5 linked regions of the Callithrix jacchus genome follow. The protein of the gene in region 4 interacts with the protein of the main gene of each other region in a pairwise test. Links are inferred from orthologs where the notes say so. Each region holds a gene or a part of one and is shown on either strand. Other genes may lie near its edges. The genes, in order: EGFR, CHORDC1, DDX24, HSP90AB1 and CDC37L1.

Region 1 (4,265 bases), on a different chromosome or scaffold from region 4:
TTTGCCATTCCCTGGTTTTGTTTTTTCTTTGTTTCTTTATGGACTGCTCTCAGCCCAGGTGTGCATATGTGGAGGAAGCACACACGTGCCTGCAGAGCCGTCACAGCCTCTGCATCCAGGGGCTGACTTCAACCTGCAGTGGCTGTCCTGATTGGTTAAAACAAAGGAACAAATTACTTCTCCTGATTCACAGGGGAAGTTCCAGGTTGCAGCAGCGGTGAGGAGCTGGCAGTGAGGAGTCGGCGGTGAGGAGTTTGCGCTTGCCCTGCTGAAAACCCCACCGTTTAGGCTGCAGGGTGTGAAACTCTGGCACAGACAATTTGCTGGATGGGAAGGAAAGAAGCAAGGTTGCTCCCCTCCAGGGACAGCAAAGGGCAGCAAAGGGCTCCACTTACTTCAGGAGTGTGGTTCTTGACAGAGCCGGGAGATCAAGGTTGTTGAATCAGGCCGGAAAGTCCTAGTGAACCTTGTGGAGAGGAGGGGTCTGTAACATGGACCTAGAGGGCATTTTTCCTGTAGGAGAAGGAACAGTGGGGATAGGGTGCACTTGCAGAAGGAATGTAGCTCAAGTTCCTGCAGCCCAAAGCAGCTCAGTTTCTTCCGGCCAAAGCCTCTGCGAATTTCCCTGGCATTTCTCCTGTGGGAGCTACCAGGGCAGTGGGACACTTAGCCTCTCTAAAAGTATCTCCACGGCTGTTTGTGTCAAGCGTTTATTCCAAGAGCTTCCCTTTTGCGAAGTACTGTGCCTCACACATTGGCTCAAATTACCCAGGGTCGGTTACAATAAACATTGAGGAGGCCTGTATCTGAGCTCGGAGTTGGGTACCCTCATTTCATTCAATTTCGAGGGTGCTTGACGGGATCTGAAGGACCCTCGGACTTTGGATCAGCACCTCGGACGCCTGGCACTCCTGCTGCACAGGCACGGCAACCGCCTCAGCTGCCAGGCCAGCCTCTGAGCCCTGGGAGGGTCCCAGGGTGCTGCAGGGGAGGTGGGGACCAGAATAAAAGAGCAGTTTCCCCGTCGGTGCCATTATCCGACGCTGGCTCTAGGGCTTGGCCAATCTGTCCAAAGCTGGTACAAGTTTGCTTTGTAAAACAAAAGAAGGGAAAGGGGGAAGGGGACCCTGGCACAGATTTGGCTCCATCTCAGCATAAGCTGGGCCTGCAAGTCCATGGAGACTGAGTCCAGAGGAGCAGTGCTGGGAACGCCCCTCTCGGAAATTAACTCCTCAGGGCACCCGCTCCCCTCCCACGCGCCGCCCCTTTCCTGCCGGAGCCCGGGTCCCGCGGGGGTCACCGCTGTCCACCGCCTCCGGCGGCCGCTGGCTTTGGGTCCCTGCTGCTGGTTCTCGTCCCTCCTCCTCGCATTCTCCTCCTCCTCCGCTCCTCCCGATCCCTCCTCCGCCGCCTGGTCCCTCCTCCTCCCGCCCAGCCTTCCCCACGTCCCGGCCCGCGCGAGCTAGACGTCCGGGCAGCCCCCGCGCCGCGCGGCCGCAGCAGCCTCCGCCCCCCGCACGGTGTGAGAGCCCTCCGCGACCAAGGCGGCTGGAGTCCCGAGCGAGTCCCGGGGGCCGCCGCCGCCCAGCCGGGACGACAACCCACCTCGGCGGCGTCCGCCCGAGTCCCCGCCTCGCCGCCGCCACAGCCACCGCGCACGGCCGCCTGACTCCGTCCAGGACTGATCCAGGAGCGTCGGAGCGAGCTCTTCGGGGAGCAGCGATGCGACCCTCAGGGACGGCAGGGGCCGCGCTCCTGGCTCTGCTGGCTGCGCTCTGCCCAGCGAGTCTGGCTCTGGAGGAAAAGAAAGGTAAGGGCGTGTCTCGCCGGCTCCCGAGCCGCCCCCGGAGCGCGCCCCGGACCCCGCAGCTAGCCCAGCCGCGCACCGGCGCACCGGCTCGGTGCCCGCGCCCCCGCCCGTCCGTTCCTGTTTCCTTGAGATCAGCTGCGCTGCCGGCCGGGACCGCGGGAGGAACGGGACGTTTCGTCCCTGGCCGGGAGAGTCCGCGGCGGGCGGAGGAGGAGACGGGGAGGGCACCGGGCTGCGGGCGGGGCGGAGAACGGCAGCTGGCACCTCCTGCGGTCCCGACCGCTCCCAACTTTTCTCCCTTACTTTCCCGCCTCTCTGCGCGGGATCGGCGTCCGCGGCCCGGTGGGCGCCGGGAGCCGGGGTCCCGCATGGCGCCCCGCGTTGTCCTCCCAGGGCACGGCGGGGTCGGAACGCGCACCCGAGGGGCCAGCGCTGCCCACCCGCAGGGCCGCGCGGTTTAGGGAAGCTGAGGAAGGACCCCGAGAATGCAGCCTCCCCTCGGACCCCGCGGGACAGGCGGCTTCCTGAGCTGACCTCCCGCCTCCGCCCTCCGCGCGAGTCTCACGCTGAAGCCGGCGTGGGTCAGCCTGGCCCCGGCGCCTCTCCGGGTCCCCGCGAGCCTCGTTCCCGGGTGTGGAGTAGCAGCCTTCACCTGGGAGCTGGGAGAACTCGTCTGCCACCACCTGCGGCTCCCGGGAAGGGGTGGTGCTGGCGGCGGTTAGTTTCCTCCTTGGCAAAAGGCAGGTGGGGTCCGACCCGCCCCTTGGGCGCAGACCCCGGCCGGCGGCTCGCCCCGCCCGGCGCGCTCTAGTTCGGCCGGTCCAGGTGTGTCCCGCTGAGGACCCGACCTCCCTCCGGGGCGCCCCCCCCCGAAAGCCCCGGGCTCTGGTTCGGTGGCCATGTCGCGGGTTTTCCACGCCTGCAACCCTTCGGTCGAGCCTGGGCTTCGCGGTGGAACGGGACGCGGCTGTCCGGCCACTCCAGAGGGGGACCGCGGGACTCTTGCGCGGAAGCTCAAGGAGCAGAGCCGGTCCTGGCCACACCACGGTGTTTCAAAACGGGGCTCACAGCAAACTTTCCTTCTCAAAACCCGGGGAGTTTCTTTCTTGGATGTTTCTCTTTGCCGTTTGAAGAATTTGACATTGGGCCAACCAAAATATTAAACCTGTCATACACACACACACACACACACACACCAGATTGATGTCCCTGGTTCACGTGTGCCAAGTCTCCAGACAGAACATGAGCGAGTCTGGCTTCGTGACTACCCTCATAAACCCATCTGACATGGGAAACATGCCTCAGGTTTAATTGCACAATTCCAGCCTTGAGCTGCGCGGGTTCCAGGAGCCAGGCCCGTACTTGCTGTTGATGTCACTGGCATGAGGCGTTGGGGTTTGGTGCCCAGCGCCGTTGTTGGGGGAGGGACAAGGCATAGAACAGTGGTTCCCAGACCTTGCTGCAGTTTAGAATTACCTGGGATTTTTTAAAACCAAAACAGAAACCAGTGTCTGGCTCCCACCCCCAGACATTCTGATTTAATTGACATGGGGCAAGACCTGGATATGGTATTTTTAAAAATGCTTTTCATGTGATCTGTTGGGCAGCCAGGTTTGGGGATCACTGCACGGAAGAAGGATTGTTAAAGTCTCCGGAGAGATTACTTGCCAATGCAAAGAGCTCTTTGAGGACATCTGGAGTTTTAACAATCTTGCCAAATATAGGAAAGAGGGGAAAGGTAGGGTGTGATTCCAATAATAAAGGATTTCTCTTCTCACTGAAGGAACTCTTGGAAAGATTCCTCCTCTGCTGAGCCTACGCGACCCTGTGAGTCAGGTGCCAGCCCTGTCTCTGCGGAAGAGCAGAGACTCTTCTCTTTATTTTAAATTAAACATGCAGAGCACCTCCAAAGCATCACTTTCCTCCCTCCAGCGGTGTTCTTGTTCTTTGATGTTACTAGCTTGAACACCTGTATTAGTGGCTGGAGATTTGTTCCTAAGAAAAATATAAATACCACTTAATTTGCCTGTTGGTCCCATATTCACCCAAAACAGAATGCTCCTGAAGACGACAGAGAGTAGGTGAACAGACGCTATTCCATTACGGTGACATAAAAGACTGAATGTTCAGGGGCAATTATTAAAATAGGAGATGAGCTCTTTCAGCAGAAGTTTGTTGAAGGCCTGTGTCTATCAAGTTCAGTCGGTTTTGTTCAAGGTGCACTTTGGTTCCGGGACATGCTAACTTCTGGGCTTGCTGCTCTTAGAGCAAAAGACTGCCACACACTGTTTCATGCATCCTTTCAGTCCTCACATTAAGCATAAGAGGCATGCGCTCCCCTCCTATGGGGGAAACTGAGGTACAAAGGATTAAAGTGACTTTCTCGAGGCTGCTAGGCAGCAGCGTGAAATTCACATGCAGGCCTTCCGACTCCAGATGCCTCTCTCAACTTCCA
Region 2 (3,995 bases), on a different chromosome or scaffold from region 4:
GGGGGAAATTTGAAATAAGGAAAATAATATACAAGTTGATTACTGTAACTTACATATAATAAAGTTGGGAAAATTCGAGAAAGGTTACATTACAGTGGATTCATTCAAGAGAATACTCCATCATTTGTAATAATGATTACAAAACAAAACAGAAAAATATTCATGTTAAGTTAAATGAAGAAGAAAACATGTATCTATGTTGGGATTACAATATAATAATTTAATACTTCTAGGTAGAAGAGAACGTAATATGAAAACTAAAAAGTCTTTTTTTCAGGGGTAGGAGGATGTGAGCCAGATCCCTAAATAACCTTGAGACCAATGGAAACTGTGTATAGATTTTTAGGTTTCTTACAAGCTGCTTATCTTATTTTAAGATCCTTCAGTGTATGTTATCAAAAAGTGTTTGCTTTTCTTTCAAACGTCCCACATTTGGGAAATATGCAAGTTGGAGCCAATGCATTACTGTAATTTTTATAATGCACTTGAAGTTTTACTAGCTGTTCCAATAGTGGAGTACTGAGTATTGAGAAATCGTTTAAGTGGGAGCTCATATGAAATATTAACAATTACCCCAGGGCCTTAGAGCAATTGTGATCATTTCTGGCACAGTATCAGATCCATAATTTTGTTCTTCAGATTTTTACGTGTTTTGTATTTTCAAAGTAACGTGAACGAAACTGTTCAGTTATTAAAATTGCTCCCGAGAGGAGGGCACCGGAGACACAGACACGCGGAGAGGTTCGTCCACTATTCCTCTCCTCATTTACTAAGCTCCCACCTCTATCCTGAGGATTTGGAAACACTGTACGATTGCACACTTATTGTGCACAACTAAGGGGTCAGAAGATACCCACCGGGCAGTCTAAGGCGCAGCCTCAAGGCAAGGAAGAAGGATGCCGGGCCGCAGGGGATGAGAGGACATGCCCATTGCCAGTGAGGACTGGGGAAGTCAGGAGACAGCTGTCAGTCTCTTGGACACCTTCAGTTTCTGCCCAGTACATTTCTCTTCCGCTATTGTCTGGGCTCCACCTCCGACCCGCAGTTGCTACCAGCTGCAGCAGTCCGACCTATTGTAGCCCGGGCTAGTGCCGACCTCCTGCTGCTTCCTCCGCCGCTTTCCTTCTCCGCTGCGCCTGCGCGACCGGAAAATTCGCGAAGGTTCCTGAAACGCCGCTGATCGTTTCCGGAAGCCGGCAGTCGCCTTGGTCGTCAGACTAGGGCTAGCTACACGGGAGTGGCCACGGCATCCTCTTGCCATTCCCGGCGTTTGGGCCTTGCTTGTGACAGTGGGAAGAGAAAATGTCCTTGCTGTGCTACAACCGGGGCTGCGGTCAGCGCTTTGATCCTGAAACCAATTCCGATGGTAAGAGGAACGCGCCGCCAGCCCTCCCTCCCCTCTCCACCTCATCGGCGGGGGAGGCCCATTGGGCCGCAGGGTGTCCGCGGACGTCCTGCAGCCGTTCTCGCGCGGCGCCAGGTCTAGGTCCCTCCTGGGCGCACAGCCCGCCGGCACCCCGCCTGGTGTGCCGCATTCCCTTGGCTATGGCCCGGCCCCGGCGCCCGACTGCCCTCTGCCTCTGCGGAGAGGGACGCTCCCCTGGATCCATGTGTTTCCCCGGTCGTCCCCGCGCTGGGTTTAAGTCGCCTGGAATTTAGAACAAACACCTTTCTCCTCGGGCCCCCTAGTCTCTGGGGAAGCAAAAGTTAACGAGGTACTGGTGAGCTTGCTTTGCAGTTCCGCAAGTAGTGTTAGCTGTGATTGCCTGCGCCAGAGGGAGCGAGGGTCGGGACTTGTCCTAGCGAGTAAGCCCTGCCTCATAGAAGTTTGTGTTCAGTCGATCCGCTGTTACAAACCTCTTGCGAGTGTTCTAGGTGAGGGACATTAATCTGTATCTTTACACTGTTTTGGTAGGTGCATCCTGGTGGTACGTTAGTTATCTTTTTCTTACTGGCATCCTTTGTTGGGTATTGTTGTTGTGGTCTCCACGTTTTAATACCATTGCTGACTCCAGTATAAAATGATCGAATGTCCGCTACAGCATCAAGATGTCGAGTTAAGGATCCAAAGCGAAAGTGACTACTAGGTGAAGGACGGGAAATGATCAGTGAATTGAGATTTTGATTGATGAAGAAGTGAGACGATTCCTTGCGTATTGTGAGAAGTGACAGCACGTTTTCAGATCGAACTAGCATTTAGTTTATGTCTTCTGCATGCTAGACATTATCGCTTTATCATCTTAATCTTCATAACAACCGTGGGAAGCGTGCGGTATTAATTAGATCCATTGATTGAGAAGCTCCGTTCAGTGAGGTAGTATTAATAACATCCTTCATCACTGTGGGGGAGATGAAAACTCATGCCTTTTAAACTCTTCACCTCTGAGATGTTTGAAATACTTAGGTTTGGCACACAGGTTTATTGATTGCATTATTAAAACAGGGTTTTAAAGAAAAGGTAAATCCAATCTATGCAATACTCATGTTACGGACACTGACATTTTTATGATGCAGATATGATGCTACTCAAGAGGAAAATTGTGAGATTTCAGTGGATGACAAACTTGAGAAATGATTTGAAAGCACTTTGATTTTGGTAGCCTACATAAAAAATAATTGCATTTATGTCTGCAGATACTCTACTTTAATATCGAATATAGGGGAAAGGCTGATGTTTTGCTGTATGGGACAATAAAGTTCAGGGGAGATAGCCATTTGTTGGAAGTCTGTATCCATGTGTGATTTGGTGCAGTGCATAGGAGAAAATGACCAGTAAAAACAAAGAATAAACAGTCTCAATAATTGGGTGGTCAGCAGTACCCGATACAGCAGAGAAATTCGAGTAAGATCGCTGAAACTTCAGTAAGATCGCTGAAAGTATATTTACTTAAGCGAAATGAGGTTTTTTTGTTTTTTTTTTTTAAGAGGCTTAGAATGCGTTTTTCAAGTAAGTTGGTTAAGTGGATGGAAGGAGAAGAAAATGGAGATACGGAGTAGGAGACAAGAACTAAATAGTAAGGTTGGTCGGTTTTATAGGAAGAGGTTTGACGTTGTACAGTTGACAGAAATAAGTTAAAGAAGTAAATACACAAGCAAGTTCCATTTTGCATGAAGCCATATGATGGATCTGCCATCCTTAAATATCTTTTGAAATCTACACTAAATGCTTTTTTTCTTGGTGCTGCGGCATAATTACCATGCTTGTTGACTTAGAGTCTCATGATTTTTTCCCCTTATAGACAGAAATTAGACTCCCTTTTAAGCTGATAGAACGTTTTAATTTGTAACACAAGTTAAAGGGTGTTTGAGGGAGACATAGTTGGCAACTTGCATATGTAAACACTTATTCTAGAATAAACAGAGCTTCACAAACAGTGTTTTATTTAATCCACGTATACGAGGAAAACTGAAGGAACTAGTGGCAAGCAGCAGTGAGAAATTTAGCCAGGGTCAGACCCAATGTTAGAAGCCCTGGATAGTTAATAACTACTACTGTGTTGCAGCTTCTTACCCATAAAATATTAATTTTACCAAAACTCTTAAAACTGATAAAGGATAAAGAATGTCCAGCTGCTTATTACTTCTTGTTTTTGAAAGCACTGGTTTTCTAATTGTGTTCATACTAATTGTATGGTTTGGATCTGACTCATTCCTGCTCCCATTCTGCCAAAATTGACTAGTATTGTGACATTTTATGCCTCTGATTGTGTTAAACATTGTACATTTTATGTCTCTGACTACCTTAAATTTGGTATTTAAAAATACTGTATCCTCTATTTCCATTCCCCTCTCAACTTCATGGCCTTCTGCATACCCATTTCTACTTCCGATCTCCTTTTTCAGCCCTTAATTCCACAACTACCCTGTATTAATAACATCTTTCTGATCCATGGGTTTACTTACTGTATCAGGAAGTTACCTAACACTTTGTTTCTACATTGGCTAGTATCTAGGCAGCACATGGTTACTAAGGAAGCAATACTGGCTAGTAATAC
Region 3 (3,152 bases), on a different chromosome or scaffold from region 4:
AGGACAAGAGAAGGGAAACACGGATCAGTGGGCAGGAGACTGCTCTGTCACAGAGGAGAGGAGTGGAGACAAGGCTGGGGCCAGATCCTGAGGGCCTCACACGCCAGAACCAGTGACTATTACTGTTAGTTCTGTGATGTGAGGGAAGCCTGAAGACAGCAACCTCATTCCTGCCCACCTCCCAGGGAGGCTCAGATAATAGCCAGGACAGAGTGGGAAAAAGATAAGCAGCCATTAGGTGTTGCTCGGGTTAAAGCAGGAACATACACCAAGGACCTGGCAGGATGTACTACAGAGGCCTCAACTCCAGCCTCTTGCTCCATTCACACTGTCCAACCTTGGCCTGCAGCCAGAGGCCTGACACTATTCCTGTTCCTTCAAGGTCTTAGCACTGTGCTGGCCCAGAAGAATCACTAAGTTAATAATGAAATAAACTATACCACCACCCCCATCTTCTAGCTAAAAAAAAAAAAAAAAAAAAAAAAAAATTAGGATGACACACTGGCTCTGACCATTGTTTTTAATTTACGAAATCAAGTTGAACACACAAGAAGCCTATAAACACGGCAATACAGAAAAGTTAAGCTGCTGCATAGAATTCTTACTCCAAAACAAGGTAAATCTGCAAAAGGTCTCTCCCGCTATGGGTGTGAGTGGAAGAGAGGGAGACTTTTTTTACCTGGGGTTGATGGTGGAGTGAAACACAAGAGTAGGAGAGGTTTTGCAAATAGCCAGAGAACAGAGACCAATGTGCAGTCACCGACACACTTGACCAGCACAATTAATTTGCACTTGTACTTGGTTGTGGCTGTTCTGGCTGCGGCTCCTTTGGCTTCTTTTTCTTCTTCTGCTGCTTGGAGAGGCAGCTCAAAGCAGACTCGCTATTCCTTGGGGCAGACACAAGCAGGGGCGGCTTGCCAGACTGAGTGGGATACTTGGTTTTCTGGCTCTCTGTAAACAGCGGCTGGGAGAGCAGGTGGCGCAGCTCCTTCTTCAGAACCTTCATTTGCTTTTGTCTCCGACGCTCTTCTTGCTGGTCAGCTTTTCCACCTAGAAACGCAATACAAAAATGATCCTATTTACTATGGTTTGTAAAAACATTTTGTTTCCCTTGATGGATAACAGAATAAAAACTGTTTTAGAACTACTTTAGGGAGGTGGAGTTGCAAAGTTCTCTAAAGAAGCCAGTGGAGGCTTGGCAGGGGCTGTAAATGGATAACATCTAACCATTTGGGGGGGATACGCAGGACCGTTCTATACTTTTCTCCTTTGTAAAAACACTCGAAGACTGGAATTATCTTTACAGATGAAGCAAATTGGCTTAGAGAAGTCACCTGGCTTACACCTCAGAGCCAGCCATCAGACAGAGCCCAGAACCCAAGTCTTCTGACAGAAGATCACCTTTCTTCCTATTACCTACCCACTTACTGCCCACCTGGGGTTTGGAGACTTCACAACTACAACCCCCTTAGGAGACAATGAATGCTTCTTTGTAGCCCAGCTCTCCTCTACCTTGCCACCAGTGCTGTGACTGCACATACAGAGGTGGGCAAAGCCAAAGGGCTCCATCTCAGCCTGTCCTCAGGAAGGGAAGCCAGGGCCTCCACATCTTCAGCCCAAGCCCCAAAGCTGAACTACCAGGACTAGCTCACTGTCTATAAGCCCACTGGTTTGGCTCCTGACTTCCATGCTGAGCAGACAGCAGTAAGTTTGGCTCTGAATCTGCTGACTTGAGCACTGAGGTATCAATATCTCAGGTGAGCTGTACATTTGGTGGTGTGGAAGAAGCACGGAATTCTAGACCTGGTTCTACAACTTCTTAGACTCAGGAGCTTTCTCAAGGTGGGACCGAGCAGATTCATCCCTGAAGCCTCAGCCTCTGGCCACACACAGAGTAGCAGCTCAGGAAATGTCTGGTGACAGAGCTACTTCCCTGCACAAATTGCCTCTGCTGTAAGTATCTAGTTCCCATGTGTAAAAGAATAGTACTTCCTGTTATGTTCATGTCATGAAAGTGGAGATGATCAAATGAGATAATGGCATGAAAGTGCTTTGTCAGCTTGGAAGGCAGGTGTAGTAGGAACCATAATGACAAATAGCTTAAAATGTATAAAATACTTTCTATTTGCCAGGCAATGCTGCAAGCACCCAATATTTTTTAACTCGATCAATCTTCCCAACAATCCCATGAAATAGATGGCTGATTACTTCCATTTTATCGAAAAAAGAAAGCTGAGACACAACAGAGGTTAAATAACTTCAGTCACACAGTAAAAGGAATCAGCAGGCATTCTAACACAGGCACATTGGCCAGAGAGCCTGCTCCCGTCCTCACTGTATCCACTGCCTGTCCACGTAAGAGGCGGCAGCTAAGGATGCAAGACAGAGACAGAGGAAACCCATCTGGAACGGGGGCCTGTTAGCAAAGAAGGGGAAGGACGTCTTGCTGATTTTGGCAAGACCCACAGTAGTAGCGAAGGTTCCAACGAAGCACAAGTTAAAGAGAAATTTCACCTTCCTCAATTCCCATCCGGCCCAAGGGCTTACCCTTATACATGTCTTCTTCCAGCTCAATCTCCAAGGCAGCCGCTGCCTGCTCAATCCAAGAATTGTGCAGACAAGCCTGGAAGTTCCGATACTCAGATTTCTCAATCAGTCGAGCTAAACGGATTCGCTCCTGGGTTAAAGTAACAGAAAATATTCATCTGAAAGAGAGTTCAGGCCTCTGGGAAGCAAAGTCTCACTTGAGTTGTGTGTCTTTGTTTGTGTGTTTGCTTGAGGGAGGATCTCACTCTGCTGCCCAGGCTGGAGAACAGTGGCATGGATCATGGCTCATTGCAGCCTCAACCTCCTTAACTCATGTGATCCTCCCACCTCAGCCTCCCAAGCAGCTGGGACCACAGGCTAGCACCACCATGCCCAGCTAATTTTTTTTTTTTGGTAAAGACAGGGTCTCACTGTGTTGTCTAGGCTGGTCTTGAACTCCTGGGCTCAAGGGCTTTTTCCCCCTCAGCCTTCCAAAGTGCTAGGATTACAGGCATGAGCCACCATGCCCAGCAAGCAGTGTTTTTAAAAAGCTCTTGAGATCAGTGATCAGTGAGAAGCAGTTCAGTTCCTACTGAACTTCATTTGCTTTGTTTCCTGATAAAGCC
Region 4 (2,540 bases):
AAAAAAAAAAAAATATTAAGTGGCCATGGTAGCATGTGCCTGTAGTCCAGCTACGTGGGAGTGTGGCTTGAGCCTGGGAGGTCCAGGCTGCAGTGAGCTGTGATCCTTAACATTGCACCGTAGCTTGAGCGACAGAGCCAGAGCCTGTCTTAAAGGGAAAACAAAAGCAAATTCCTATTTGTATTTTCAGGCCTTGGACAAGATTCGCTATGAGAGCCTGACAGACCCTTCAAAGTTGGACAGTGGTAAAGAGCTGAAAATTGACATCATCCCCAACCCTCAGGAACGTACCTTGACTTTGGTAGACACGGGCATTGGCATGACCAAAGCAGATCTCATAAATAATTTGGGAACCATTGCCAAGTCTGGTACTAAAGCATTCATGGAGGCTCTTCAGGTATGTGCAGTTTTGCAGGCACACACCATTCATATTTGTCAGTGTGCTTTGGTTTGTTGCTTTTCGAAAACTTGTGTTTGACTTTAAATAACTTGTTGGCAGGCTGGTGCAGACATCTCCATGATTGGGCAATTTGGTGTTGGCTTTTATTCTGCCTACCTGGTGGCAGAGAAAGTGGTTGTGATCACAAAGCACAATGATGATGAACAGTATGCCTGGGAGTCTTCTGCTGGAGGTTCCTTCACTGTGCGTGCTGACCATGGTAAGCTCTCCCGTTACAAGTTAAGCTGGGTTGGAGTTTTCTGGGCTTGTGAAGTGGCAGAAATTTTTAGCATCCTGTTTGTAAAGCAGTTGAAATTATAGCAGCCTCGCTAATATACTTTTTTTTTTTTTTTTTTGGCTTGGTGAAGTCTTAACTGCTTTTATATTTTCACCCTGTTACATGCTTGTGACTGACTCTTGTAGGTGAGCCCATTGGCAGGGGTACCAAAGTGATCCTCCACCTTAAAGAAGATCAGACAGAGTACTTAGAAGAAAGGCGGGTCAAAGAAGTAGTGAAGAAGCACTCTCAGTTCATAGGCTATCCCATCACCCTCTATGTGAGTGTGGACTTTTAAACCTTTTTCACTTAACGTGCAGGGTGTTTCCTGTTCTGGAGTCATCATGGGCCCTGGCTTTTGCTTTCCCTGTTAGTGGTTAGTACTCAAGGCTAACTTTTGTTTTTGTTGTTTAGTTGGAGAAGGAACGAGAGAAGGAAATTAGTGATGATGAGGCAGAGGAAGAGAAAGGTGAGAAAGAAGAGGAAGATAAAGATGATGAAGAAAAGCCCAAGATTGAAGATGTGGGTTCAGACGAGGAGGATGATAGTGGTAAGGATAAGAAGAAGAAAACTAAGAAGATCAAAGAGAAATACATTGATCAGGAAGAACTAAACAAGACTAAGCCTATTTGGACTAGAAACCCTGATGACATCACTCAAGAGGAGTATGGAGAATTCTACAAAAGCCTCACCAATGACTGGGAAGACCACTTGGCAGTCAAGGTGAGAAGCCCTTGCACATTGGCTCAACATACAAATATGGAGAGGAGTGAGTAGGTGGCGTTTTGGCAGGTAATAGACACATGGAACTTGTCCTCCTGATCACAGAAATGTTGAGAACCATGTGATTTCATTGATTACCCTGTCACAGTGAGGAGCTATCCTTCCTAATGACCTCACTTTGTCTTCTGATGGTAATCTTGGTAATGTCTGCCCCTGATCATTGAGAGCATTAAGGCTCGGTTTTCTAGAGAGCTGCCTGTTGTGTGTGCTTTGTCCTTTAGGCTTAGGGAGGATCATTGTTCCACTTTTAGGTAATTTGTTGGGGCTAAAAGGCACTCTTTGGAAATGTACTACTACTTGTTTATGTTTGGATTCTTTCAGCACTTTTCTGTAGAAGGTCAGTTGGAATTCAGGGCATTGCTATTCATTCCTCGTCGGGCTCCCTTTGACCTTTTTGAGAACAAGAAGAAGAAGAACAACATCAAACTCTATGTCCGTCGTGTATTCATCATGGACAGCTGTGATGAGTTGATACCAGAGTATCTCAGTGAGTATGTCCTTGGCATAATTTAGTTGGGTGAAGTCTTGGGGCAAGGTTTTCAACATTCTGCAACTAAAAAGTCTTATTCCTAGGTGTAATAGTTCTCTGCAATACATAGTGTGTGAGGGTTCAGGGGGCAATAGCGCCTTCTCTTTGAATCTGGGTACCAGGTCTGGTCTAGCTGTTTTTACTGAGTTTTCTCATCCTGGTTGATGGCAGACTTTATCCGTGGTGTGGTTGACTCTGAGGATTTGCCTCTGAACATCTCCCGAGAAATGCTCCAACAGAGCAAAATCTTGAAAGTCATTCGCAAAAACATTGTTAAGAAATGCCTTGAGCTCTTCTCTGAGCTGGCAGAAGACAAGGAGAATTATAAGAAATTCTATGAGGCATTCTCTAAAAATCTCAAGGTAAGGAGGCACATGGTTATTCCCTTTACCACTTTCTTAGTAATTACGATAAATTCTACCATTCTTATAGAAGGCAAGGTTATTTTAGTTAAGTTGGATTGTTTTTTTCTCTTCCCACTCTTCAAGCTTGGAATTCACGAGGATTCCACT
Region 5 (3,132 bases), on a different chromosome or scaffold from region 4:
GACTTTTAATAATTGTACCCTCCCAACTTTAGTAAAGCCGATTACCAACTACTGATTTATTGCTTTTAATGTGATGAAACACCAGATTTGACAGCTAAATTAGTAGTGGGATACAGGTACATTTTTATCTTTAATCATTTTTGTATAATAGGACATGTACATATCCATATAAAAAGAGACTGTAGCAGATGCCTCCCAGAATCAACCAGTTCTTGTAAACATTGCATTTGTGCAGATTTTCATACTTTGATTCCAAAATTGAGAACAATAAGATTAAAGGCAAATTTAGTAGCCATAAAAAGTCCAGTTTGACTTCCTGCAACATACTGTACCACTCCTCTCTTCAGAACAAAACAAAACAAAAAACCTAGCAGCACATTAAAAAAAATTTACAAAACGTTTCAGTACTCTTTCCCTCCCATCAAAAAAGGAACAAAAATAAAGTGCAGCACCCATAAAAGTGTCAAGAAAATAGCCAAGTTCTTCCTTTCTTGTAACAAAATAGCACTTGGCCTCAGCAGTTTTAACCAAATTATACAGTGTCCATCATTTTGGGTTCATCATCTTCTTTATGTACCACTGAGTTTAAGCTGCAGAGAGCTGTACTGATAGAATACTGAAGGTAATCTGGATTCTGGGGAAAAAGAAAAGGCGGATCAGGGGAGAAAATGCATTATAACCAGTTTTATGATAGTACATACATACATATTCAACTTCACGGTCCTATGTCTCTGCAGTGTAGTAGAGTAGTAGGGAAGATGAAGTCAGACTTGGGCTGAAACCCAAGAAAATAAAGACAAAAACAGGATGCTATCACCTAAGAGATGTGATAAAAGAATGATACATGTGAAAAACAGAATTGTTAACAAATACCACCTTTCTTCTCCATTTAACAAAACCATATATTATTTAATCACACAAGGCAAGGCTACAACTTCCATGTGATTATATATACATAGCTACTGATAATTTAAATACGGTTTGAAGCCAGCAATGCATTTTTAAGATTACCATCTAACTACAACAGTAAACACTAAATTATGCAAATAATCTGAATAAAAAAAATCCATTTACTGGGTAAAAATTATGGGTATCTTCAGGGTCTATTTTGTTTTCCCAAAAGTTAAAACAACTCAGTGAGAAATCTGTACTCTTTTGAGAGGTATTTAGACCCTTATTTTTTAAACTGAGAATAAAATATCAGGTTGTATTATACTATGAATAAAGGTATAGCCCTTAAGACCCAGAACTTTGGAAAATTCTTTCCCAAGAATTCAATTTTGTCTACTCAACTGTTTGAGTATCTGCTAGTTACTTAAGACTTATACCACTTTTATTACTAATTTTATTTATATTTATTTTATTTAATAAACACCAATGAGGAAAATAGTCCAAACAGGAGAGATGCCTTAAACCTCACCATCTAATAGGAGGTTGGGAGGCAGAGTTTTCTAAAGATCCTCCTAAGAAAGTACAACACTTCATGAGATTCCTTCATTGTAAAAGTCAGAAAGCTAGTTGGAGTTTGGATGACTCCCAATCAGGTCTTTATAAAGGAAGTAGCAGAGACAACTGACTGAGGTCTGGGACACTCACACTGGGCCCCAGTTTTAATCCTGCCTCTATTTAGTATAGCAATACTCAAGGAGAAAAAAATTCACAATTTGGTAAAATTAAAATCTAGCCTATAGGATACACCTAAAGTAATTGTTGTTATATCTACATCCAAGACTTGGATTAGACCTCTTAAAAGTAAGAATAATGAATGGTATTTGGCTAATTTCACAAGATTACTGTTAATTATATATAAAAAAAGAAAAACTAAATAGTTATCCACACTTAAGCTTTATCCAAAATGATCAATATTCTTATCTTGTCCCATTCTCCAAAAAAACAGCCTTAAGACCTTTTTCTGACAATCCAAGCCTAATTCTCTGTAAGTTCATTGGAACAGAACTTATAATTAATTACTCTGTTAAGACTGGGCTCCAGTTTTCCATGACACAGTTTTGAATAAGAGAATTGGCTGAGGAGATTCTCCAAAACTCATCCACCCATCTTCCTAAGGACTATAAGATACTATCATAAAGAGACTTTCAAAAATAAGGAATTGATATACCCAACCTAACCTATACTTAAATTTCATTAACTGTCCCATATTTTCATCTAGTAACATTCTCAACACATATGATTCAACAGTCTGTGGTATAGGTAAACAAATAGTGAAGCAGAATAGAAATCCAAAAGTAGAACATTAATCACTTATTGCGCTGACTTCAGGCAAATTACTTAAGTTCCATGACTTTCAGTTTACTTATCTATAAAAATGAAATGAAAATGAATCATAGGAAAACTGAGAAGATTAAATAATATGTGTGAAAGTGCTTTGTAACCTATAAACGGATATAAAAATGGGATGCTATTATTACGGTAAGATTTTTCTTCCAAACCTCTAAACTGATGATTTGGTCCCTCAAGTAGCCTCTTTTGATTTCCTTCAACTAGCCAATGATCCTTTCTGCACATGTAGTATCTGACTGAAATTTTGTCCAGCTCTTGTATCTTTCAGAAGGACTATACCAGGATGCTCAAATTACTCACCAAGAGAAATTGGTCTCCCACCATGAGGAGATTAGCCCAGCTTAATTAAATCTGAATAACCCTGATAATATCAGCAATCCAAAAGTGTCAGAATTGTATAATCCTAGTCCGCCTATGACTCTAAGGGATGCTTAGTATCTGATATCAGTTGCTATCTAATATGTGTAACAAGGACTTACTTCTCTCAAACCAGAGGCAATTTCTAAATAATATAGGCCTAAGATACTATAATGTGTACCTTTTCTTCTTATGTTTAAAATCAATTACACCCTTCCAAAGTCTCTTTTTTCTTTCCCATGCATTATGTGACATTTTAATTGCAGGAGGTTTATATATTGGATTTCACAGTGACTTGGTCACAGAATTCCCCTGGAAAAACTACTTCCCAGTGGGCTACTTCTCAGGAACTGAAGGGAAAAATAATCACTGACATAAAATTAAGAGATAATCTGTAGGAAATCTGTAGGGGGAATATTTCTTACATGTCTAACTAAGGGGGAACATTACTAATTATTTAAAAATCAGACATTT

What was found.
Region 1: the proteins of HSP90AB1 (region 4) and EGFR interact in binary tests that used the Homo sapiens proteins (3 or more experiments, as listed by UniProt). The link is inferred for Callithrix jacchus from reciprocal best matches to the Homo sapiens genes HSP90AB1 and EGFR.
Region 2: the proteins of HSP90AB1 (region 4) and CHORDC1 interact in binary tests that used the Homo sapiens proteins (3 or more experiments, as listed by UniProt). The link is inferred for Callithrix jacchus from reciprocal best matches to the Homo sapiens genes HSP90AB1 and CHORDC1.
Region 3: the proteins of HSP90AB1 (region 4) and DDX24 interact in a two-hybrid assay, tested with the Homo sapiens proteins (2 studies listed by BioGRID and IntAct, with this or other methods). The link is inferred for Callithrix jacchus from reciprocal best matches to the Homo sapiens genes HSP90AB1 and DDX24.
Region 5: the proteins of HSP90AB1 (region 4) and CDC37L1 interact in binary tests that used the Homo sapiens proteins (3 or more experiments, as listed by UniProt). The link is inferred for Callithrix jacchus from reciprocal best matches to the Homo sapiens genes HSP90AB1 and CDC37L1.

The regions. Positions count from the first base shown.
Region 1 is NC_133512.1:22,475,005-22,479,269, forward strand, and holds the start of EGFR (epidermal growth factor receptor), read left to right. Parts: upstream 1-1,464; 5' UTR 1,465-1,722; coding exon 1,723-1,810; intron 1,811-4,265. UniProt on the Homo sapiens protein: Receptor tyrosine kinase binding ligands of the EGF family and activating several signaling cascades to convert extracellular cues into appropriate cellular responses.
Region 2 is NC_133511.1:50,352,828-50,356,822, forward strand, and holds the start of CHORDC1 (cysteine and histidine-rich domain-containing protein 1), read left to right. Parts: upstream 1-1,195; 5' UTR 1,196-1,302; coding exon 1,303-1,366; intron 1,367-3,995. UniProt on the Homo sapiens protein: Regulates centrosome duplication, probably by inhibiting the kinase activity of ROCK2. Proposed to act as co-chaperone for HSP90. May play a role in the regulation of NOD1 via a HSP90 chaperone complex. In vitro, has intrinsic chaperone activity.
Region 3 is NC_133509.1:128,872,481-128,875,632, forward strand, and holds the end of DDX24 (ATP-dependent RNA helicase DDX24), read right to left. Parts: intron 2,678-3,152; coding exon 2,548-2,677; intron 1,051-2,547; coding exon 782-1,050; 3' UTR 507-781; downstream 1-506. UniProt on the Homo sapiens protein: ATP-dependent RNA helicase that plays a role in various aspects of RNA metabolism including pre-mRNA splicing and is thereby involved in different biological processes such as cell cycle regulation or innate immunity.
Region 4 is NC_133505.1:52,714,902-52,717,441, forward strand, and holds part of HSP90AB1 (heat shock protein HSP 90-beta), read left to right. Parts: intron 1-190; coding exon 191-397; intron 398-499; coding exon 500-659; intron 660-862; coding exon 863-996; intron 997-1,130; coding exon 1,131-1,439; intron 1,440-1,820; coding exon 1,821-1,986; intron 1,987-2,199; coding exon 2,200-2,390; intron 2,391-2,516; coding exon 2,517-2,540. UniProt on the Homo sapiens protein: Molecular chaperone that promotes the maturation, structural maintenance and proper regulation of specific target proteins involved for instance in cell cycle control and signal transduction. Undergoes a functional cycle linked to its ATPase activity.
Region 5 is NC_133502.1:111,210,403-111,213,534, reverse strand, and holds part of CDC37L1 (hsp90 co-chaperone Cdc37-like 1), read right to left. Parts: intron 818-3,132; coding exon 716-817; 3' UTR 635-715; coding exon of another isoform or gene 533-634; 3' UTR 1-532. UniProt on the Homo sapiens protein: Co-chaperone that binds to numerous proteins and promotes their interaction with Hsp70 and Hsp90.